Linked DNA regions of Callithrix jacchus. The protein of the gene in region 2 interacts with the protein of the main gene of each other region in a pairwise test. Links are inferred from orthologs where the notes say so. Each region holds a gene or a part of one and is shown on either strand. Other genes may lie near its edges. The genes, in order: REL, NEIL2 and MEOX1.

Region 1 (7,938 bases), on a different chromosome or scaffold from region 2:
AGAGGTCAAAAGACGGGGTCAGCTTTAGCTACGTTGTGAAGGTAGGGTCTACTAGATTTGCTAATGGATTGGATATGGGAGCTAAAAGAAGAACAAAGGATGACTCCAGGATTTTTGGCCTGAGCAACTAGAAGCATGGCATTGCCATTTACTGAGTTGGGGAAGACTGAAGGAGAAGCAAGTTTGGGAGGGAAGACCAAGAATTCAGTTTTGGATATGGTGAGTGTGAGCTTTAATTCAATTTCTAGATAGAGATATCAAATAGGCAGTTTTATGAGATCACAAGGAGTGAGGACATTTAAGGAGAATGGTCCAAGGAAACTTTTTCCCCTTAAAAAATATGAGTGTAAAGCTAAAAGTATAAGTAACTTTAAAGGCATAGATTGAAATAGTATAAAATGTAGAAAACCTCCCATACCTTAAAAGCTCACTTCTGCCCAACGTAACACTAAAGACATTTTGATACACATACAAACCTAAGAAACTCCAAGAAGCCTAAGAAAACCCCTTAGGGGTTACCTTGGCCCATGGGCCTCAAAAATAAGAAATTAAGTTTTTCAATGGCATAGCCATTACAAGTTTTATCTTAAATTTACTTGAAATTTAAGAATACATTAAAACATTATAAAAAGAAATATAAAAAAGCATAAAAGCATTTTTTTTGAGATGGAGTCTTACTCTGTCACTCAGGCTGGAGTGCAGTAGTGAGATCTCAGCTCACTGCAACCTCCGCCTCCTGGGTCCAAGCAATTCTTGTGCCTCAGCCTCCCAGGTAGCTGGGAGTGCAGGTGTGCACCACCATGCCCACCTAATTTTTGCATTTTTAGTAGAGACGGGGTTTCACCATGTTGGCCAGGCTGGGCTTGAACTCCTGGCCTCAAGTGATCCAGCCGCCTAGGCCTCCCAAAGTGCTAGTATTACAGGTGTAAGTTCCTATGCCCAGCCTCTGAGTTGTCTTTCTATGACAGCTTCCAATTTTGTGTTCACTACGTCCAAAGTTGCATGCTTCTTCCCTGAAAAAAGTTTTTTTTATATTCTCAAATACAGTACTATATTCCCAGTCAGACAAATACAAAATGCTGCACCTACACAGGTGATACCAAGACTTAAAATGATTTAAATCTTGCAAGTTATACTTGAAAAAATTCATATGGAAAGGAGTCACTCAACTGCTCATTTTGCATACTGCCAATACCTGAATACTGACTACCTTGAACAAAACTATGACTGTCTGGATTGGTACTGTTTGATGGTCCTGACTCATTCATCATGCTGTTATCTGCACAATTGAAGTCAGATCCCTCAAATGCATCTGATTGTGAAACAAAAACAGCAGTATTGGAATTGGCACCTGCTGACATATTGGAAGAGGACATCTGGTGGAGCTGTCTCAAGTCTCTTGGGTCTAACACTGAATTACATGAGGGGTTTTCAAGATTCATGCTCAGAAGTCTTGGATTATCAGTCTCTCCCATGCTATCATTGCTGGTGGTCATCATATTCACAGAACAATTTGACAGCATGTTGGGATCAGAAATACCATATAAATCGGCTGGTGGCATGGATGACGCTTCCATTCCGACTATGTCGTCAGCATTGTTATAAATGCAAGCATTAGAAACATTTAAATCATTCTCAACAGGTATTCCCAGGAATGGTGGGATACCTTGTGAATTAGAAGGAAGTGTCCCTGTTGAAAAACTGCTCAGTGGATTTGTATTGACTAAGCGTGAGGTGGGGTGGGCCACTGATGACCAGCTTGAAGAAGGCGGAGGTGGCATTGAGGCATGACGTGACAATCCACTTGAGATGTGCCCAAGTGAGAGATAGTAGGATTCTCCTTGATTTGAAATCCCTGTAGGTCTGGACATTTCTGTCGCAACTGCACCATGAGAAAACAAGTTTGGTTCTGTGGGAGGAAAAATTTATTTTACAAAATTAAAATAAACAAAATTAGAAAAAGTATTATTTCTAAATTAAAATTGCATATGAACACAAATAAATACACAAAAAAATGTCAAGGAAACCAATGTAACATTTCAAATAAAAAATGTAAAAAGCACTAAAATTATTACACAAATCCAAAATGAAATTCTGTAACATATACCGTTTACAAATACAGGAAAAATGATTTTGGCAAATTACTCTGGCATATGTACTTTCACTCCAGTTAAATGAAAATCTAGTTTCTGAGGCTCTATAAATGTATTTTTGAAAACTGGAAGATAAATATGAGAATTTTAATTAATGGGACTCCAAACAGCCAAAATCATCTCTTACTCTCCACTTTTAGGAGAAAATGGAAGGATGGAGAAAACACCCATTAGGGATAATAAGAAAATACACAACTTTTAAGATATATTATGACACAATCCTAACAGACTATAAAATTCACAGTCAGAAAAAATTAATTCTGTATTTATTTACATATTATACAAATGCTTGACAACCTAAACCAGGAAAAAGCACTGATTTAAGAATGTAAGGGGGTAGAAAGGACTTCTAATTAGCCCGTTAGCCCTTGGTCAAATTATCTAAACTAGGGATTGGCAATTTTTTTTCTTGTAAAAAGTCAGATAGTAAATATTTTAGGCTCTGTGAGCTATATACAGCCTCTGTTGGAACTTTTCAACTCTGTTGCCATGGTGTTAAAAAGGCAGTTTAGAGACAGTATTTAATCAAATATTCATAGCCATGTTCCAGTAAAATTGTATTTATAAAAATTGGTAACTAACCAAATCAATAACATTTTTTCCATAACATGATATAATTAATAAAATTGCTACTGTATAAAACACATGTTATTTCTTGAAAAATAAATCCCAAAAACACAATCTGTTTCTAACACAACCTTCAGAAGCCATGTTCAATTCATTCTATACTGAAACCAAGAAAAATCTGAAGGAGAGAAAATTTTCAAAAAAGTAGTTATTCATTCCTAAATACAGAGTTCCAATACATTGTGCCAAGCTCTGGTCTTTCTAATCACAAGAAATATGCTATAGGAAATAAAATACCTTTTTTGATGTATCTTCCTTCTCCTATTGATCCAAGGGGACCAGGTCTTGGTCTCTCAGGAAAATTAACTGTTAGGATAAAGTTTTTCCATTATTAAATATAATTTGAAAAATAACACTATCAGTTAAAATTTGAAAAACCAGCCAGAGGTGGTGGCTTCTGCCTATAATCCCAGCACTTTTGGAGGCCAAGGTGGTGGATCACGTGAGGTCAGGAGTTTGAGACTAGCCTGGCCAACATGGGGAAACCCCGCCTCTAATAAAAATACTAAAAATTAGCCAGGTGTGATGGCACATGCCTGTAATCCCAGCTAATTAGGAGGCTGAGGTAGGAGAATTGCTGAACCTGGGAGGTGGAGGTTGCAGTGAGCTGAGATTGCCCCACCGCACTCCATCCTGGCTGAAAGACAGGCCCTGTCTCTACTAAACAAAAACAAAACAAAAGTAAAAATTGAAAACCTGAATAAAGCAAATAAAACAAAACCTATTTAAATATGAATCAATCAAAAATATTCTTACCATGATCCTGCCACAATTTCTGAAAAAGCAGAGTTGTCTTTTGTTTCTTTGATTTATTGCCGTAAGTATCTGATTAGAAAGAAACCAAAAAAAGCAGGTAAAAAATTAAACTCTCCACTAATAAACAAGTATTTTATTCACATATAGAAAATGTTTTCAATAAATATGTATATAATTTGGATTTAATAAGTATTATAGAATATGTCCCAAATCAGTACTATCAGTAGTAAAGGATATTTTTCTCTTGGTAAAAAATTGTTTAAAGTAATCCCAGCACTTCGAGAGGCAGGTGGATCACTTGAGCCCAGGAGTTTGAGGACAGCCTGGGCAACATGGCAAAACCCTGTCTCCACAAAAAATACAAAAACTGGCTGTGCACAGTGGCTTATGCCTGTAATCCCAGCACTCTGGGAGGCCAAAGAGGGTGGATCACCTGAGGTCAGGAGTTTGAGACCAGCTTGGCCAACATGGTGAAATTCTGTCTCTACTAAAAATACAAAATTAGTTGGGTGTGGTGGCACATGCCTGTAGTCCCAGCTACTCAGGAGGCTGAGACAGGAGAATCGCTTAAATCGGGAGGCAGAGGCTGCAGTGAGCCGAAATCATACCACTACGCTCCAGCCTGGTGAAGATAGAGCAAGACTCCATTTCAAACCAACAAACAAAACCCACAAAAATTAGCCTGGTGTGGTGGTGCACACCTGTAGTCCTGGTACTCCAGAGAGGATGAGGTGGGATGATCAATCACCTGAGCCCAGGAGGTTGAAGCTCTGGTGAGCCATGATCATGCCACTGCACTCCAGCTTGAGTGACAGAGTGAGACCCTGTCTCAAAACAAACCAAAACAAACAGTTTAAAATATTCATCTTGTTTTCTTATCACACAAGTCAATAATGTGAACTAATACAATAAGGTTGGATAAGAAGTCAATATAGAGACTACTCTCTGAGTGGTAAGTGCACAAGGACAAAAATAGACCTTCAAAAATACAATAGAAATTTTAATAAGCAGTTTAGATACTTTGAAATTATTCCATACTAATCAAACCTCTTTTTTTATTTTTGAGACAGAGTCTTGCTGTGTCGCCAGGCTGGAGTGCAGTGGCATGATCTCGGCTCACTGAAACCTCTTTTTCCCAGGTTCAAGCAAATATCCTGCCTCAGCCTCCCAAATAGCTGGGACTATAGGTGCGTGCCACCATGCCCAGCTAATTTTTCTATTTTTGGTAGAGACAAGGTTTCACTATTTTGGCCAGGGTGGTCTCCATCTCTTGACCTTGTGATCCGCCCACCTTGGCCTCCCAAAGTGCTAGGATTACAGACGTGAACCACCGAGCTTGGCCCAAACCTCTTTCTTAAGAAAGAAACGCAGAGACCAGCCTGGCTAACATGGTGAAACCCCATCTCTAATAAAAACACGAAAGTAGCTGGGGGTGGTGGTGCGTGCTTATAGTGCCAGCTAATTGGGAGGCTGAGGCAGAACTGCTTGAACTCGGGAGGCGGAGGTTACAGTGAGCTGAGATTGCACCACTGCACTCTAGCCTGGGTGATAGAGTAAGACTCAGTCTCAAAAAAACAAAACCAAAAAAAAAAAAAAAAACAACAAATGAGATGCAAAGAGCATAAAGAAAAAAACCCAACGGAAAGTTTCCAGGAAAAGAAACACAAATTATGAATATACATAGCTGTATTTAAATGAATCTTACAAGATGTTATTAGCAGGACCACTTTAAGAAATATATAAATTATTACCAGCATAATGTCATACCCTTTTCATCTGGCAGATATCTAAAATCCATAGATTCACTAACTTCCTGGTCAGAAGGTCTCCGCAACTGCATTTTTACTGTTACAGGTTCTGTGATAGCTTTGCAATACGGTGGGGTTTTAAAAACAATGGCTACTTGACGGTGTACATCAGCTTGTGAAAAGATGCCTTTTGCTTCCCAATCATTCAACACAAAACGAACTTCTATGTCATCTAGTAAATAAGAAACAAAAGAAATAACAATGGGAAAACAAAGTAACTGCATCTATTAATCTAAATTTTATTCTAAATTCAACGAAATAAATAAATACCTTTCTGAACTTTGTCACAAAGTAGAAATATTTCATCTCCTCCTCTGACACTTCCACAATTCTTGTTTACACGACAAATCCTTAATTCTGCAGTATTTGGAGCACCTAAATATAAAGGATTTAAAAAAAAAATGAGTTGCTACATAATATTTTATTTCTTTTTGAAGGGAAGAATTTGAGGAAAACCATTCACAGAATAAAAGTTTTAGTGTATAAATAAAGGACACTAAATACACTAATCATCTATATTTGTCCACTTCCTTTCTAACTGCTTTACTTTAGACTTGTGACTTCATTTCTAGGTAATGACACATTCTCTAATTATAGCTCCCTGCTTCTAAATTCTGATTCTGCCAATCAATCCTACACAATTGTCACCAGATTAATCTTTATAAATCATGGCCATATCCCTACAGCAACACAATTTTCCCTATGGCAATACATCTCCTTATGGCAATACAACTTTCATGCTTCCTACTATCTGGCTGTAAGATTATAATAATTATCCCTGGCATTTAAAGCTCTACATATTAAGGATACTCTAATCTACCTTTATAGACCTATGTCTCACTACCCTACATGTACAACAGGTATAGCCATACACCATTGGTGGATGTATATAGAGATGCCTATGTACATACACACACACGCATACACATACACATACACACACACACACACACACACAGCATTTTGGGGGGAAGTTTCATAATCTTCTAAAATTAGATATATCCATATCCTTTGATCCAGCATTTGCCATGCAGTGAGCGAGCCATGACTGCACACTGCACTCCAGCCTGAGTGACAAAGCAAGACCCTACACTGCAAAAACAAAACAAAACTAAAAAAGCCCCTAAAAAAACCATATACAAGAATATGTATTGCAGTACAGTTAGTGAAAAAATAAAAAATGAGAAAAGAAACAAAATGAATGTCTTGTAAGAGGGTAATTAATAAAATTATGATATAACTATATAATGAAATATGCTGCTACTGAAACAAATAAGGTGACTGAAAGGAAAATGTTCAAGATAGATGGTAAGATGAAAGTTAGTTTTTAAAACAATTATCACTTATGATTTTTTTTAAGTTGCCAAAATTGTAACTATGTCAAAAATGATGATGACAGTGTATTTGTGTGTACATAGGAACAAGAAACTGGTAAAATATGCACCTAAGCATAGTGATTATCTCTGGAGGATGAGATTAGAGATTTACTCTCTGTTATAATATTTCTGTAACGTCTGGAAGTTTTCCTATCATAAATATATTGTTTTTCTAATTACCAAAATACTTTTAAGAATTAAACTATTATAAAAAACAAGTTAAGACTACAAATACAAGAAAATGAAGTACTTACGGTTGTCATAAATTGGGTTCGAGACAACAGGAGGAAGAGCAGTTGTCAAATTACCATGTTCATCAGGGAGGAAAACTTGAAAACATAATCTCACCACATTGAGATCACAATCTTCAATATCAATCAGCTGTTTTTCAGGCACTGAATAGTTTTAAAAAAAAAAGAATTTTTTTTAAGAATGTAAAATAGTTGGGACACAGTGGCTCAAGCCTGTAATCCCAGATCTTTGGGAGGCCGAGGCGGGCAGATCACGAGATCAAGAGATCGAGACCATCCTGGCCAACATGGTGAAACGTCTCTATTAAAAATACAAAAATTAGCTGGGCGTTGTGGCATGCACCTGTAGTCCCAGCTACTCGGGAGGCTGAGGCTTGAACCTGGGAGGTGGAGGTTGCAGTGACCCGAGATTGTGCCACTGCACTCCAGCCTGGCGCCTGGCAACAAAGTGAGACTCTGTCTCAAAAACAAAGAAACAAAAAGCAAAATAGTCACATAGACCTAAAGTCCTGCTAGGTACTCCTCCCTGCCCATTATAGCCAATAACCTTGAATAGCATCCAAATCTGTACCAATAAAAACAGAATAGTATACAATCTCAAGATTGCCTTTTACCATTCTTATCAAGTAGTCACTGTTTAACAGTATTTGAAAAAATACAGCCATGTTCAGGAAGTAACTATCCCCTCACCTGGGATTTAAAGCAGACTCCCAAGTTGACATTAATAACAAATCAAAGTTTCAAAAAATAGTTGCAGGTTCGTACACAACAAAGAATGGCATTTACTTATTCATTCAACAAGTATGTATTTGGTCCAGTTGTTGTGTTAAGGACTCTGTAAATTATCTCCTAAATCTGTACAAGAATTACTTTCATTCCCATTTTACTAGTGAGGAACTGAATTTAATTAATTTTTTTGAGATAGGGGTCTCACTCTATTCCCCAGGATGGAGTGCAGTGATATGAT
Region 2 (7,611 bases):
AGCCTCCACAAAAAGATGCGCAGAAGGAAGGGGCTGCAGACCCAAGGCAGGCCCAGGAGCCCTGCGGGCAGAAGACCTCCGATGGATCATCACGGTCCGCAGAGCTGGTCCCCCAGGGAGAGGGTGACTCGCAGTGTTTGGCAGGAGCCGCCCCTGCAGGAGGTGCTGGGAGGTGGCTATGTGTCTGTTTTGGTTTGTTTGGCAGCATTTGGGTGAACGAGTTCTCCAGAGCCAAGAAAGCCAACAAGAGGGGTGACTGGAGGGACCCTGCCCCCAGGTAAGGGTGTGGCCATCTGATTCTCATGGGCTCTGATAGTCATGGGTCCCTGCTTGGCAGGGTTTGGGACTTGGGCAGCGGGGACACACTGAGGACATCCCATCTGCTCCCCAGGACTCTGCCGTCTTGGGGAGAGAGACCACCTCTGTGTCTACCAGTGATAGGAAGTGGACTGTGGTCTGGCCAGGAGAGGGTGGCACAACCAGCGGTGGCTGGGAGAAGGGTAGACCTTTCCCAGCGAATGTGGCACTTGAGGGGGAACGTCCCCGAAGAACATTTCATTGCCTGACTAGTGTGCTTTGAGTTTACGGACAGGATTTCCCAGTTATTTTTTTTTTTAAGTATATTGCTTGTGTGTGTGTGTTTTATTGAGATATAATTAACATACAGTAGGATGCAGATCTTAAGTGTCCAGTTTGATGAGTTTTTTTGTTTCTTTTTTGAGATAGAGTCTTGCTCTGTTGCCCAGGTTGGAGTGCAGTGGCGCAATCTCGCCCCATTGAAACTTCTGCCTCCCAGATTCAAGCAATTTTCCTGCCTTAGCTTCCTGAGGAGCTGGGGCTATAGGCGCACACCACTACACCGGCTAAGTTTTGTATTTTTAGTAGAGACAGGGTTTCACCATGTTGGCCAGGGTGGTCTCATGGACCAGCCTCAAGTGAATTCTCATGGAACTCATGGCCTCAAGTGATCCACCTGCCTCTGCCTCTCAAAGTGCTCGGAATGCAGGCATGAGCCACCGTGCCCACCCCAGTTTTGAATGTATGAATGTTGAAATCAACATTTTCTGCATAATACTCTATCTAGGATTAGGATTATGTCCTTCATGTCAATTCCCATTGGAGTAATTGCTGGTCAAAGGGAATGCACGTTCTTAGGGCTGCACATTTTTATGGCCTTAGGAAGTGCTAGCTGAGCTGAAATCTCATGAACGTTAAGTCGTTTGTGTACTTCTTATCAATGTATTGAAGCTTTTGGACAGAAAGTCTTTGTCTTTCTGCCGTGTGTTGCCAATATTGTTTCAAGTCTATCCTTTGTCCTTTCACTGTGCTTAGGATGCCTCTTGGCATTTGGGATTTTAAATTTTTATGTTGTCAGTGGTGGGTGTTTTTCCTGGTTGCTCGTAGGTTTCCCTTTTTGCTAAAAAAAGGCCCTTTCTGCCCCCAGGGAAAACCACGTGACTTCTATTTTCTGACGTTTCATAATTTTTAAAAATGTTTAGAACTGTAGTCTGTCTTTTTTTTTTTTTTGAGATGGAGTCTTGTTCTGTCACGAGGCTGGAGTGCAGTGGCGTCATCTCGGCTCCCTGCAACCTCCACCTCCCAGGTTCAAGTGATTCTCCTACCTCAACCTCCCGAGTAACTGGACTACAGGTGCATGCTACCACATCTAGCTAATTTTTGTATTTTTAGTAGAGACGGGTTTTCACCATGTTGGCCAGGATGGTCTCAATCTCTTGACCTCGTGATCTGCCCACCTTGGCTGGGATTACAGACAGGCGTGAGCCACCGCCTGGCCAGAACTGTAGGTAGTCTTTATTTGTGGCACGATGTAAATACCATAGGATGCTATGGGCTATAAAAATAACTCGGAGTAGTGTCTGTGGTCAGGAGATTTGGGGCTCCCATGACCGGAAGTTCAGAAGGAGGGTGGGCTTTGGGATTGCGGTTCCAAGGTTCTGGCTTCATATTCTTAGGATTCTCCTGGCTTTGCGCTTTCCATGCAGTGGTTTTGTCCTTAGCTGAGCAGCAATAGGCTACGGCAGCTCCAAGATTTTATCCACACCAAAAAATCCAGAATGAGAAGGTCACTTGTAGAAGTTCAGATGAGGAAACTTTTCTCAGAACCCCCAGGAAGCCTCTCATCATCAGGAGCCTGCTCTTTGCTGAGTCCTGGGTTAGTCGCCAGTTGGAGGCATTGAAATGCACTCCACGAAGCAGGCTCACGCCTGGGTTTTCAGATATATTGCCACAGAGTGAATGTGTATCATGCCTTTATTTTTAAATCTCTTTTTACCTGGTTATGTCTCTTTTCTCATTTGCATGTTTTGTATTTATTTTGCTTTGTCTCTTTTTTCTTTAATAGGCTGGTCTTTGAAATAAATAATATTAGCTTGCAGGCGTAGTGACTCATGTCTGTAATCCCAGCACTTTGGGAGGCTGAGGCAGGAGGATCACTTGAGCCTAGGAGTAAGAGACCAGCCTGGGCAACATAGTGAGACCCTGTTTCTACTAAAAATAAAAATAAAAAGATTAGCCAGGTGTGGTGGTACATACCTCTAGTCCCAGCTACTTGGGAGGCTGAAGTGGGAGGATAGTTTGAGCCAGAGAGGTTGAGACTGCAATGAGCTGTGATTGTGCCACTACACTCCAGCCTGGGCAACGAGCAACACCCTATCTCAAAAAAAATCTAAATAAATAAATAAAATTATATATCTCTTCTCTATGGAAAGGGTACATGGAGTATTTGGAGAACTGAAAATACTAGGTTGGGTGTGGTTGGCTTACGCCTGTAATCTCAGCCTTTGGGAGGTGGAGGAGGGTTGATCACCTGAGGTCAGGAGTTCAAGACCAGCCTGGCCAACATGAAATACCATCTCTACTAAAAGTACAAAAAATTAGTCAGGTGTGGTGGTGCACACCTGCAATCCTAGCTACTTGGGAGGATGAGACAGGGGAATCACTTGAACCTGGGAGGCACAGGTTGCAGTGAGCTGAGATCGAGCTGCTGCACTCCAGCCTGGGCGACAAGAACAAAATGACATCTCAAAAAGAAAATATTATAAGTAAAAAACGATGCATTTAATATGCCTAGCCTACCAAACATCATGGCATGGCCTAACTTACCTTATTTGTGCTCAGAACAATTACATTAGCCTACAGTTGGCAAATCATCTAACACAAAGCGTGTTTTATAAAATGTTGAATATCTCATATAATTTATTGAGTACTGTACTGAAAGTAAAAGAATGGTTTTATAGGTACTCAGAGTGTGGCTTTTACTGAGTGTGCACTGGTTTTGTACCGTTATAAAGTCAGAAATTAAAAGTGAACCGCTGTAAGTCAGGGCTGTCTGTGTGTATGATCCGACCACAGAGCGTGCTCTCAATGTAGCGTGGTAATGACGTGTACCTAACACCTATTCTTTCTTCCCAGGTTGGTCCTGCACTTCGGTGGTGGCGGCTTCCTAGCATTTTATAATTGTCAGATGTCCTGGAGCTCTTCCCCAGCGGTCACACCCACCTGTGACATCCTGTCTGAGAAGTTCCATCGAGGACAAGCCTTGGAAGCTCTAGGCCAGGCTCAGCCTGTCTGCTATACACTGTTGGACCAGAAACACTTCTCAGGGCTAGGTATGACTGATGGGAAAGGGGTGAGCCCACAGAGTTGCTCAAGGCAAAGTCGTTCCTGTGGGAGTCACAAGACCTGAGACCCGCCCCACTCGTGCCAGTGCTGTTGGCCTTGAGGGGGCCACTTGCTTAATCTTCATTTTACTTCCCTTGTTTTTAAACTGAGGGCATTAGATCAGGCAGTTTTTAACTTCTCTCGGCTTCAGAGTCCACACTCTAATTGTGTTATCAGTTATGAGCCTTCTGCCAGCAACACGGGAGCATCCCCTCCGAAAGGGCAGGGTCATGTCCCTATCCGCTCCGCTGCACAGCAGCGCCTGGCCCACAGGAGGTGGCTGAGCCATGTCGGTGGGGACTGAAGTCGTACAGGCTCTAGCAGAGGAATGAGTGTGTGTTCTACGGGGTGCTGCCATGGGTGGATGGAGCCTCCCCCGGTCAGGGCACAGAGATGACTCAGTCTACATTAGGCTCTTACAGGACACGAGGGAAGGAGCAGTTTTCCTCTCTGTGGCAGTGGCCTGAGCAGGGACGTTGTGTGCATTTCGAGTTATGGAGAAGCGCTGAGTAATCCCAGAACATACATGTAACGGCTAATTAGCTGGACTATGAGAGCGTGCCACTCCTTTTTTTTTTTCCTTTGAGACAGAGTCTTGCTCTGTCACTCAGGCTAGAGCACCTTGGCTCCAGTTGAGGTTGGATTCTCCTGCCTCAGCTCCCTAGTAGCTGGGATTACAGGCATGTGCCACCACGCCCGGATAATTTTGTATTTTTAGTAGAGATGGGGTTTTACCATGTTGGTCAGGCTGGTCTTGAACTCCTGGCCTCGTGATCCACCCTCCTCAGTCTCCCAAAGTGATAGGATTATAGGTGTGAGCCACCATACCCAGCCCTGAGAATGTGCCATTCTTCTTACCCACAGCAGGGGAATAATTGTGCCCAAAATAGGCTGCTGAGGCAATTAGGTGAGTTGGTGGTGACAGTCACCTCCATATCCAAGGTGTGACTTTGCTGTCAGCTCTCCTCCCCTCCCCTCACAAGGGTCGGAGGAGGCCTGGTGCTGCACCAGGCACTAGCCTTGCATTTTCATGTTAGAACCATGGGTGTCCCTGTGCCCTCAGGAGCAAAGAGGCATCCGGAGGTGGCTTTTCGGATATATATGGCAAGAGCTAACAACAGTAACAGGAGTAATACGGCCAGTGTGTTCCAAGCAGCTCTGATGCACCAGGCACACGTTTTTGTCCTTACTGCCGTTCCATAGAATAGTTATAGTGGTTTTTCCTTTCTTCAGATGAGGAAACTGAAGCAAAGAACACATTGCTAGTCAGTAGCAAGGCTGAGACGTGAGGTCGGGTATTCTGTCAGTGAATTCTGGAGACAATGATGTGTGTAATGGGGAGTATGACTGACGCTTTTGGAAAGCAGGAATTTCCTTCACCTGCTCAAGAATTTCCTTAACGCGAGGCACAGCGACACTCACTCGGGCTCTGTCACACTCACCACCTCTTCCTACAGAGGTCATTGTTGAATGGCTCAGCAAGCAGGGACTCAGGTCACTGTGGGTTAGGAAAGATTGTGATGAATGCCTGGTGGAGCTTAGAGTCCTGTTGGAACATTCCAGAGAGAGTTACTGATTCTGAAAAGAGGGATGGAGGCTGGCTTCACAGAGAATGAGGCAGGAGTAGAGAAATGATAAGAGGATACCTCCCCAAACACTTCCTAACATAGCACACATCACGCTCGAGATTTCATTTTATTTTTTGAGACCGGGTCTCTCTCTGTCATCCAGGCTGGAGTGCAGTGGCACAATCACAACCCACTGCAGCCTCAACCTCCCTGTTTCAAGCGATCCTCCCACCTCAGCCTCCTGAGTAGCTGGGAGTACAGGTGCATGATACCACACCTTGCTAATTAAAATTTTTTTTTTTTTGTAGAGGCAAGGTCTCGCTATGTTGCCTAGGCTGGTCCTGATCTCGTGGGCTCAAGTCATCCTCCTGCCTCTGCCTCCTAAAGTGCTGGGATTACAGGTGTGAGCCACTGTGCCCAGCTATGCTGGACATTTTGTTTTTAATTTAAAAAAAGAATTTTATTGGGCCAGGCGCGGTGGCTCACGCCTTTAATCCCAGCACTTTGGGAGGTGGGCCGATCACGAGGTCAAGAGATCGAGACCATCCTGGCCAACATGGTGAAACCCTGTCTCTACTAAAAATACAAAAATTAGCTGGGTGTGGTGGCACACGCCTATGGTCCCAGCTCCTCGGGAGGCTGAGGCAGAAGAATCACTTGAACCCTGGAGGCGGAGGTTGCAGTGAGCCAAGATTGTGCCACTGCACTCCAGCCTGGCGACAGAGCAAGACTCCATCTCAAAAAAAAAAATTTTTTTTCAGACAGAGTCTTGCCCTTTCACCCAGGCTGGAGTGCAGTGGCACAATCTCAGGTTACTGCAACCTCCGCCTCCCGGGTTCAAGCGAGTCTCGTGGGTCAGCTACCAGAGTAGCTGGGATTAGAGGCACGTGCTACCATGCCTGGCTGATCTTTGTATTTGGGGTAGAAATGGGGTTTCACCGTGTTGTCCAGTCTGGACAGCTGGACTCCTGGCATCACGTGATTCACCCACCTCTGCCTCCCAAAGTGCTGGGATTATAGGCATGAGCCACTGCGCCCGGCCAACCATTTTAAAATGATAATAACAGTTAATATTTATTGAGTACTCTACATCCCAGCCACTGTACTCAGCATTTTTTAGTGAATTCTCATTTACTGCTCACAAGAACCAGGTAAGCCATCCTTGCCTTACAGATAAGGAAACTACAGCTGATCAAGGCTGGGGAGCTTGCCATGTCACATGGGTAGGAGCTGCTTGAGCTGGGATTCAAGTGCAGGCAGTCAGATGCCCGAGCCCTCTTTGATAACCTGTGTGCCATGATGGGCCACGCATGACTTTCATTTCATCTCCACAGCAACCATAAAGGTTGAAATTGTCCCCATTTTACAGACAGGGAAATGGAGGCGGATATCACTTACCCGCCCAAGGTCCTGCAGGATGTGGGAGAGCTGAATTCTGCCTTGTGAGCTTTGTGGGTGGTTTTGTCACTTTCTTCTTCCCTCACCCTCCCCTGCTGTCTTTCAGGGAACATCATTAAGAATGAAGTCTTGTATAGAGCTGGGATTCATCCCCTCTCTCTTGGCTCCGTCCTGAGCGCCTCGCAACGGGAGGCCCTGGTGGACGGCGTGGTGGAGTTCAGTGCAGCCTGGCTGCAGGACAAGCTTCAGGGCCACCCGCAGCACACGCAGGTCTACCAGAAGGAATGGTGCCCTGCTGGCCACCAGCTCTTGAAGGAAGCGTTTGGACCCCCAGGTGGGTTCCAAAGGCTCACCTGGTGGTGCCCACAGTGCCAGCCCCAGTTGTCCGAGGAGCTGGAGCAGCGCCAGTTCTCCTAAGGAACTTGGGGTGCTCGTCATGGAACCTTGCCCCTTGGGGAACCTGACGTCTAAGTATCCAGAAAGGGGAGGATATGGGCAGAGACAGGGTGCAGAGGATAGTGTGGGTCAGGGGTGCCAGTATGACAATATTCCGGAGTTATGTTGAAGGCAGAGTTTTCATAGGGTTCGATTTCTTCTTCTTTTTCTAGTTCAGTTAATTCTTCCTATTGAATTGCACCATTGTGAAAGATGAGAAAAATCATGATGGTTGGTAAGGGGAAAGCTCCCGAAGGCAGTGGGGCAAGGAAAGAGCCCATGGGAAATAGCTGTGCTCCCTACATGGCTTTGCAGATGATGTGGGGATTTTTCAGTTTTTGTTTTGTGATGGGTCTCGCTCTGTCTCCCCAGCTCGGCTCACTGAAGCCTTGCCCTCCTAGACTCAGGCGGTCCCCACCTCAGCCTCCACAGTAGCTGGGACTACAGGCATGTGCCGGGATGTCCGGCTGATTTCTGTTTACCTTTTGTAGAGATGGGGTCTTGCCATGTTGGCCAGGCTGGTCTCGAA
Region 3 (8,038 bases), on a different chromosome or scaffold from region 2:
GTCAGGGTAGTATGGCTGTAGACTGGCTCTGCCTAGTTGAGCACAGAGGTGTGGCTGTTCGTCACATGCATCACCCTAATAGCCAGATGTTCTAAGATGCAGTTCATTTATCCTCCTCACTGCCACGTGAGGCCAGAACTGTCAACTCCACTTTGCTAGTGAGAAAAATGAGGCTCAGAGAAGGGCTTCGATTTGCCTGAGGCCACACAGCCCATACATAACAGGCAAGGTCACACCTTGAACTGGTGTCTTCTGCCTCCAGGTCCAGGGTCCTTCCCCGACACCCTGTCTCTCCAGACTCAGGTGGGTGGGGTGGCCGCGAACAGAAGCCGCCCTGTCCTGCCAAGTACACGCCTGCCTGCTGCACACAGTGGGGGAAATTGCACAAGTTCCTTGGGATGGCTCAGGTGTGGCCAGGCTGCAAGCCCTCCCGGGGGCCTCCTCCTGACTCACACTTTTCCTCTTCCTCCCCTCATTCTGCACCACAGCTGCCAGAGACCAGGTTCCCTCCCTTCCTGAAAACAGGGCTCTCCTGGCACATCCGCAGGGCTTCTCTCTGTTCTGAAGTGGAGTCTGGCTCTGTTGCCCGAGCTGGAGTGCAGTGGTGCAATCTTGGCTCACTGCAACCTCCGCCTCCTGGGTTCAAGAGATTCTCCTCCTGCATGGCTGGGACTACAGGTGTGCACTATTGTGCCTAGTTAATTTTTGTATTATTAGTAGAGGCAGGGTTTCACCATGTTGGCCAGGATGGTCTCGATCTCTTGACCTCGTGATCCGCCCACCTCGGCCTCCCAAAGTGCTGGGATTACAGGCGTGAGACACTGCACCCGGCCCACAGGGCTTTTTCTACACACAGTCCCTTCCATCCATCTCTGTCTCTGGCCCTGCGGGGCCTTGACAGGGAAATGCTGACTTTGAGGAGGTGAAAGGTGCTGGTGCCCGGCCTTCATCTAACAAATGGGTTGTGTGAGGGGAGGAACTCTTGTTGTTTTTTCCTGATCTCAGAAGAGGGGCCTGTCAGGAAGATGTAGGGGCCAGGAGGCCCCCGGCTGCGCCCTGCAAGGTGGCTGACAGACGCCAGCAGCTGCCGGGGGCTCTGGGGTGCCCAGGCCCTGTGTTCTCAGGGCAGAGCACCCACCGCGCCCCCTCCCGTGGCCCTCCTGACCTCCCCACCCACCCCACCATGACACAGGGCCCACTCTGTCCAGGGGCAAAGGGCCAGGCGCTGGGCCTCCCTGCCATGAGGTCCCTGGGCCAGATGCAGAGGCGGAGCGGGAATCCGGTTACAGCCTGTGGCTGGCCCAGGGGAAGGTTTTCCTAGGGAAGCTGACAGACCAGATCTTCCTCCCAGCCTCCCACGGATTCCTTCCAGAACCCCCACAGCACAGAGTGCCCCCCCCACAGGACCGCACAAGGCTGTTTCTGTAGAATTTCCTCAGAATTCCCCATTCTCAGATTTACCCTTTGGGATCTTCGAGGTTAACCACAAATAAATGTGCTAGGAAGGAAGCTATGTTTGTCCATTACCTACTCTGCTCTTTGCATAAAGGATTTCATTGAAATTTACAAATGTCTGTGGGCTGGGCTGCCTGGATTTGAATCCTGGGTCCGTCCTCAACTTCCCTGCTATGTGACCTTGTGCAGATTACACAGTCTCTCTGCATCGGAGTCCTCTGCTGAAAAACGGAGCTGATGAGAATGACTCTTGCCTCCGAAAGCTTTCATGGGAATTCATGGAGGTAAAAGTGTCTAAGATGCAAAGTGCCTTAGACAGATCCCATTCTGACTGTCATCTCAGATGAGTAAACAGAAATTCAGAGAGGTAAGTGACTTGTTCCAGGGCACACCGCCAGGAAGTGGAAGACCTGAGGTTTGAACTCAGACCTTTCTAACCTCAAACCCCATGTTTCTTCCTCTGCATCTGACCTGCTCCAGACTGAAGAGCAGGACCCCTGAGCCCAAGTGCTGGTTCCACCTTTTCTTTGGTATGTGAGTCTGGGCAGTCCAGTCAACCTTCTGAGCCTCAGTTTTGTCATCTGCAAAATGGAGATGTAATTCTTGCTTTACCCATCCTAGGAAAGTTATGAGGCTCAGAGAATTGTGTGTGCCACAGCTAAGCCCTTGGCAAAGCAGAGGGATGAGTCTGGTTGGCAGCTATGACTCCATCCCCTCTACTGGTCTACAACACCCTGACCGCTTGTTCCAGAAGAGAGTATGTCTTGTCATATGAACGTCCCTCCTCATCTTTTACAGCTGTTCTTGCTCCCGGGATGTGTATCTGACTGGAGTTTCTGGATTAAAGACAAGTCTCGGCTTTATTTCACATCCCTGGGTGCCTTTCCGCTCTTCCTAGGGGCATCTTCTGCACCTACTCCCCCAGGGCCCCATCTCCACGCCGCAGAGCTAAGACCCAGGGGCCCCTCCTCAGGGAGCCCCTGTTGTCTTTGGAAGCAGCCAGCAGAGATGCTGCTGTGAGGTCCATGCCTGGTTCTGCCCCCATCCTGCTGCTCTGGACCACGTACATCACCCGTGGGAAGGAGTTCTGGGCCCTGGGTGTTAGGAATGTCATCCTCCAAGAAATTGCATTAACCCTGTGAGAGACCAGCAGGGCACAGCCATGAGAAAAACTGATTGGGCATCGAGATGGCACTTGGGCTGGCTGCCCTGCGATGTGCACCAGCCCGGAGACCCACGTGCCTGCTTGCCAAAGAGGCACCTTTGGGGAACAAGGAGCCCCTGATTCCTATCTCCCAGCCCCAGATTCCTCAGAAGCCTCTGCCTCTGGAGGTTGAGAAAGGGAAACAGGTGGGTGGAGGTGAAGGGGGCAGGGAGCAGGTGGGAGGAGACTCGAAGAAACTTCATGGACCTTATTTAAGAATCTTGCCACTGCCATGAAGAAAAATGACTTGAAATCTCTCTAGAGAAGAGTGTGGCTAATTGGCATGTAAGTTGGAGGTTAAAGAGCGGAAGGAAGAATCTGATTGTTTTTTTAAGTTACTGAGAAAGTGAGAATGCCACTCTGGGCAGAGAGAAATTCTTTTTTTTTTTCTAGCCTTTCTTTATTCTAGAGACCATAGTGGGCCGCTGAGACTTGCAAAAAAGATTTCTTTTAATCTACCTTCCTTTTTCGCAGGCAGAAGGGCGTTTAAACCAAACGCATTCACCAAGCTTCCTCTTGCACTTATTCCTCGCTTTGCTCCCTGGAATTTGGCATTTGATGGATTCTGGATCTGACTTAAGGCTTTTTCTAAATCCAAGACTTGGGGAATTTCGTTAACAGTGCAATAAAAATAACTTCATAATGTTATGGGAGGGACATTAAAGACGGGGCGTGTGTGTATATGTGTGTGTGTGTGTGCGCGCGCGCGCGTGTGCACGCTACTCTCTTTCCTTAAAATAAAAAAAAATACAATGTTTCTTTAAAAGTCTCCATCTGCAAATCCCATTAGATGTGCATATAAGGTTTCTGATGATTAATAGTTGCCTGCTAGCGTTTTGGTTGGAGGGGATCTTTGTGTGCGGGTTAACCCCTCCCTCTCCTCTCTCACATTTCACTTCAGAAATTTGTCACTCTCTCCCCACCGCAGGATTTAAAAGTGTGTCCCAGCAGCCCTGGTCCGGCCCTCTGCAGGCATTTGCTCCGGGCTCCAGGACAAGCTCCTCATCAGCTGGTGCGTCTGGGTTGGGACAGTGAAAATGTTTAGTGTCATTGGCGACAAATACACGTACAGGGGACCCCAGTAGGCAGGCTGGTGCATCGGAGGGGCAGGAGGAAGCCCGACATAGGTGTGTGCACACGCATAGGAGTATCTGGCCACATGTGTGTGTCCTTTAAAGAGAGACTTTGGTTTAGGTTTTTGTTTTCGGTCCTGGGGTAAATTTTCTGCTAAACATTTTTCCCTATTTTTTTCTTTTGCATTTAAAAAAAACTGAACGTAAAAAGTATAGAGTCAAATCTTTGAAAGGACTGAGGCGTGCCGCGGACAGCAGATGGATCCCGTGGCCAGCAGCTGCATGAGGAGCCTCCAGCCCCCAGCCCCTGTCTGGGGCTGCCTTCGAAACCCCCACTCAGAAGGCAATGGGGCCTCAGGGCTACCCCACTACCCGCCAACCCCGTTCTCCTTCCACCAGAAACCAGACTTCCCAGCGACAGCGACGGCAGCATACCCCGACTTCTCGGCCTCCTGCCTGGCGGCCACCCCACACAGCCTGCCCCAGGAGGAGCACATCTTCACTGAGCAGCACCCCGCTTTCCCACAGTCCCCCAACTGGCACTTCCCTGTCTCAGAGGCCCGGCGCAGGCCCAACTCAAGCCCGGCAGGGGGTTCCAAGGAAATGGGGACCAGCAGCCTGGGCCTGGTGGACACCACAGGAGGCCCAGGCGAGGACTATGGGGTGCTTGGGAGCACTGCCAATGAGACAGAGAAGAAGTCATCCAGGCGGAGAAAGGAGAGTTCAGGTAGGTGGCTCAGGAGCTGCTGATCGTTCCTTTACTGTGTGACCTTGGGGAGATTACTCACCCTCTCTGTGCCTAGGTGCTCTCACCATGAATTTCTGTCTAGCCTATCTAAATGCAGGAGACTAGTGGTTTCTTTCACTGAGAGTTCTAGGATTCTCTGGTGATGGGGACAGTGTCTGTGTCCCAGCACTCCTGGGCCCCAGAAAACATGTCCCAGCAAGACAATGAAAAAGGATCAGCAAGGATTTGGAGGACATGTGAAATGGATCCTCTGGATGCAGACTGATGGGACTGGTGAGGGGCTTTCCTGAATCAGGCTGCTGTTGAGTCATATTCCTCCCCACCACGCTCTGGCCAGCCCCAAGTGGTCCTAGAGCCACAGGCCTCACTTACCAAGGAAGTCAGCTGAGACTGAGGCTCTGGGAGCTAAGACTGAAGCTGGGACCCTGGGTGGCCACCCAAAGCCAGGACTCTATGTGTCCAGGAGCCTAGAGGCAGAGAAGTAGGCCTGGGATTGGGATGGGAGAGTGAAGGGGTGAGCAGGGGATGGAGGGCTGAGGTTTGGGGCAGACTGCCTACCAGGTATTACCCTGCAGAGTTGGGCTATGCCCAGGCCCAGGGGACAGCTCAGCATGCTGAGATCGGGCTGACCCCCTCCCAGGAACGCAGCCCCTCAAGGAGCCTCGAGGGATGGGCAGCCTGCGAGAGTCAGGGAGGCAGACAGCCGAGGGAATCCATGCTGGAGTCCCAGTGACTGGAGGGTGAGGTTAGCCTGTTTGTTAAGAGCCTAGCTAAAGCCCTTCTCTTCCCCGGGGTGGGGATCTGCTGCTTCCTCACCTCCCCACCAGGCCCTCCCTGGCTTCTCACACTGCCTGTTCACCTTTTGTCTGATTCTTTGTCCTGACCTTATTCAGAACATGGTAGTGCCCAGGCCTCCTGCCTGTGCTGCCCGGTGTCCTCCTGACAGCCACCCTCGGGGGCACACTTATCTGTCGGAGCCTGTAGAGGACCTTCCCGTGGGGCTAACCAGGGCAGGCCAGAAAAGGAGGGCACCAATTAGCAAGCAGGAATGCTCTGGGTTTCTTTACAAAGCACTTTCGATGCAGCACAGCTTTCCCGAGTTTCTGCTCTTAGCCAAGCCCCAGGAATGCTAAGGTGAATGAAGGGGTCTCACCCAAAAAAGCACAAACTGAGAGGAAGAATCGTCCTGCAGAGGCCTCTCTGCAGCGGGATGTGCCCTGATGGGGAGGTTCTAGGTGCAGTTGGATACCGACGCTAGCCCTTCTGAGTTTTATTCGTATACGAATCAAGCAGGTTTTATTCGTATCTTGACTGTCTCAGTGTGCAAAATGAGAGACTGGAAGTTTGTGAGAACACAGAAAGATTGGGGTCAAAAAAGAGTGAGCAGCTTATCTCCATTTGCCTAGAACTTTTCCAGTTTGAGCACTGAAAATCCTGTGTCCTGGGAAACCCCGCAGTCCCAGGCAAACAGGACAATCGGTCACCCTAGAAGTGCGTTCGAACCTCAGGCTTCAGACCTGATATCAACCCTTCTGCAGATTTGAAATGCTCACTTTGAAATGATCTTTGGTCCTCCTGCTTGAAGAAGCCCCTCAGTGAGCTCACAATGGGTGATAGGAACCCACCACTAAACAGCGGGGCCTTTTGAACCTCCAGCCAGTTAGATCCCCATCCCAAAAATGAACTCATCCTACCCCTGGCAGGAAATGTGCCTAGGAGGCGCAGGAACTCAGCTGTAATCTGGGTTGAAGAGCTTTCCCCTTGGTGGCGGCGCCTGCCACTTTCCAGGGTACTGGGAGCCAAGGGCAGTGAGAAGGGATAGCAAAGCCAAGAGGCTGCTGGGCACAGGCGGAGACTTCCGGCATTCTGAGTCTCAGCAAAATCTAAGTGCACCAGCTGTCCTCTCGGCAAGTGGCCGACAGCCCTGCAATGCAGGGAGAGCATTCACGCCAAGCAGCTGGCCGCCCAGGAATACAGGGACACCCTCTGCCGAACGGCCTGCACACTTTGGGGTCAGACTCCAGTGGAGGGAGGTTCCCATCCACAGGGGCCCTGGGCTTCCCTAGGGGTCCCCTCAGGAGCAGCAGCAGCAGCTGAGGCAGGGTCCAGCGAGCCGACTCTCACTCATCGCCGTGATTCCAAACAAACTTGCTGTTCAACATGGAAATCTTTATTGCCCAGTTGCTTGAGTCCTCTTTTGGGATTTAACTGAAGGGGAGGAAGGATGAAAGAAAGATGAGCTTTGTAAGAGCCTAAAGAAGCGGGAAAGTGGCCAGCCGCAGTGGCTCATACCTGTAATCCCAGCACTTTGGGAGGCTGAGGCAGGCGGATCACTTGGAGGTTGGGAGTTTGAGACCAGCCTAGCCAACAGGGAGAAACCCCGTCTCTGTTAAAAATACAAAAATTAGCTGGGCATGTTGGTGCATGCCTGTAATTCCAGCTATTATTCAGGAGGCTGAGGCAGGAGAATCACTTGAACCCGGGAGGCAGAGTTTGCAGTGAGCCAAGATCGTGCCATTGCACTTCAGCCTGGGTGACAAGAGCGAAACTCTCTCTCAAAAAAGAAAATAAATAAATAAAAAGAAGGGGAAAGTGACGAGCTAAGCTCATAACCTACTCCAGGAGTCTGGAATTGAGCTCAGAAAAGGCAAACCCCACAAAGAACCCTCCCCCTCCCGACCCTGCCAGTCCTGAGTCTGTGATTGGATCATCTCTCTAAAATTGTGATTTTTTTTCATCATCAATTTTTTGCATTAATTTTTGTTTTTAAAAATATTGCCTTAAAATATTATTGATCTTGATTACAAAGGATTTGGGCGTGCCCTCTCATTTGGGGCTCCCCAAGTCTGGGTTGAGTGGTCTCTGGAAGGTTAACCAGCATTGATCAGAAACGTGTTTTCCGTAGCTCTTCCTGGTCAGACAGGCTGCAGTGTCAGCACTGCAGCTTTTGGCTGCATGACTTTGGAAAAGTTCTTAACTTCTTCCAGCCTCTGTTCGCCTAGCTGTAAAATGGGAATACAGCAGTAGCACCTTCCATAGAGAGTCTCTGTGAAGGTTAGATGCAGTGATCCATGAGATTAACTCTGTGCCTGGCACATAGTAAGAGTTCAATAAACAGTAGCTATGAATGGTATCAGGCCCATATTTCCTGCAACCGCCATCAGAATATAAGATCTGACAAATATTTCTATATTTATGGAGATGGTGGAATTGAATATTTCAGTTGTGCTGTCTTAGAAATTCCTGAGTCTGGGGAACTTCTGGCAATCATTTTGGTCCCGTTGTTATCAGTGTGGATCGTGGAGCTCAGAGACCTGCTGGAGAGGGTGTGGGTGACTTGGGCCTGGCAAATGCACCCCTTTTGGAGTGGCTGAGAAGCCTCCAAAATTGAAAGTTTGTTGCAAGAGGAACATTCTCTGCTCTCCCTCCTCCCTCACTCCTGTGGAATCTGGAGCAGACCCACTCAAAGAAATGATCAAGAAAGCAGGGTTGGCCAGGCACCGTGGCTCACATCTGTAATCCCGCCACTTTGGGAGGCCGAGGTGGGCGGATCACTTG

What was found.
Region 1: the proteins of NEIL2 (region 2) and REL interact in binary tests that used the Homo sapiens proteins (3 or more experiments, as listed by UniProt). The two-hybrid records come from large-scale screens. The link is inferred for Callithrix jacchus from reciprocal best matches to the Homo sapiens genes NEIL2 and REL.
Region 3: the proteins of NEIL2 (region 2) and MEOX1 interact in binary tests that used the Homo sapiens proteins (3 or more experiments, as listed by UniProt). The two-hybrid records come from large-scale screens. The link is inferred for Callithrix jacchus from reciprocal best matches to the Homo sapiens genes NEIL2 and MEOX1.

The regions. Positions count from the first base shown.
Region 1 is NC_133515.1:53,210,748-53,218,685, forward strand, and holds part of REL (proto-oncogene c-Rel), read right to left. Parts: intron 7,116-7,938; coding exon 6,975-7,115; intron 5,720-6,974; coding exon 5,615-5,719; intron 5,517-5,614; coding exon 5,304-5,516; intron 3,606-5,303; coding exon 3,537-3,605; intron 3,087-3,536; coding exon 3,018-3,086; intron 1,910-3,017; coding exon 1,131-1,909; 3' UTR 1-1,130. UniProt on the Homo sapiens protein: Proto-oncogene that may play a role in differentiation and lymphopoiesis.
Region 2 is NC_133514.1:10,278,876-10,286,486, reverse strand, and holds part of NEIL2 (endonuclease 8-like 2), read left to right. Parts: coding exon 1-277; intron 278-3,432; coding exon 3,433-3,629; intron 3,630-6,753; coding exon 6,754-7,064; 3' UTR 7,065-7,611. UniProt on the Homo sapiens protein: Involved in base excision repair of DNA damaged by oxidation or by mutagenic agents. Has DNA glycosylase activity towards 5-hydroxyuracil and other oxidized derivatives of cytosine with a preference for mismatched double-stranded DNA (DNA bubbles).
Region 3 is NC_133506.1:70,535,512-70,543,549, reverse strand, and holds the start of MEOX1 (homeobox protein MOX-1), read left to right. Parts: upstream 1-3,960; 5' UTR 3,961-3,990; coding exon 3,991-4,459; intron 4,460-8,038. UniProt on the Homo sapiens protein: Mesodermal transcription factor that plays a key role in somitogenesis and is specifically required for sclerotome development. Required for maintenance of the sclerotome polarity and formation of the cranio-cervical joints.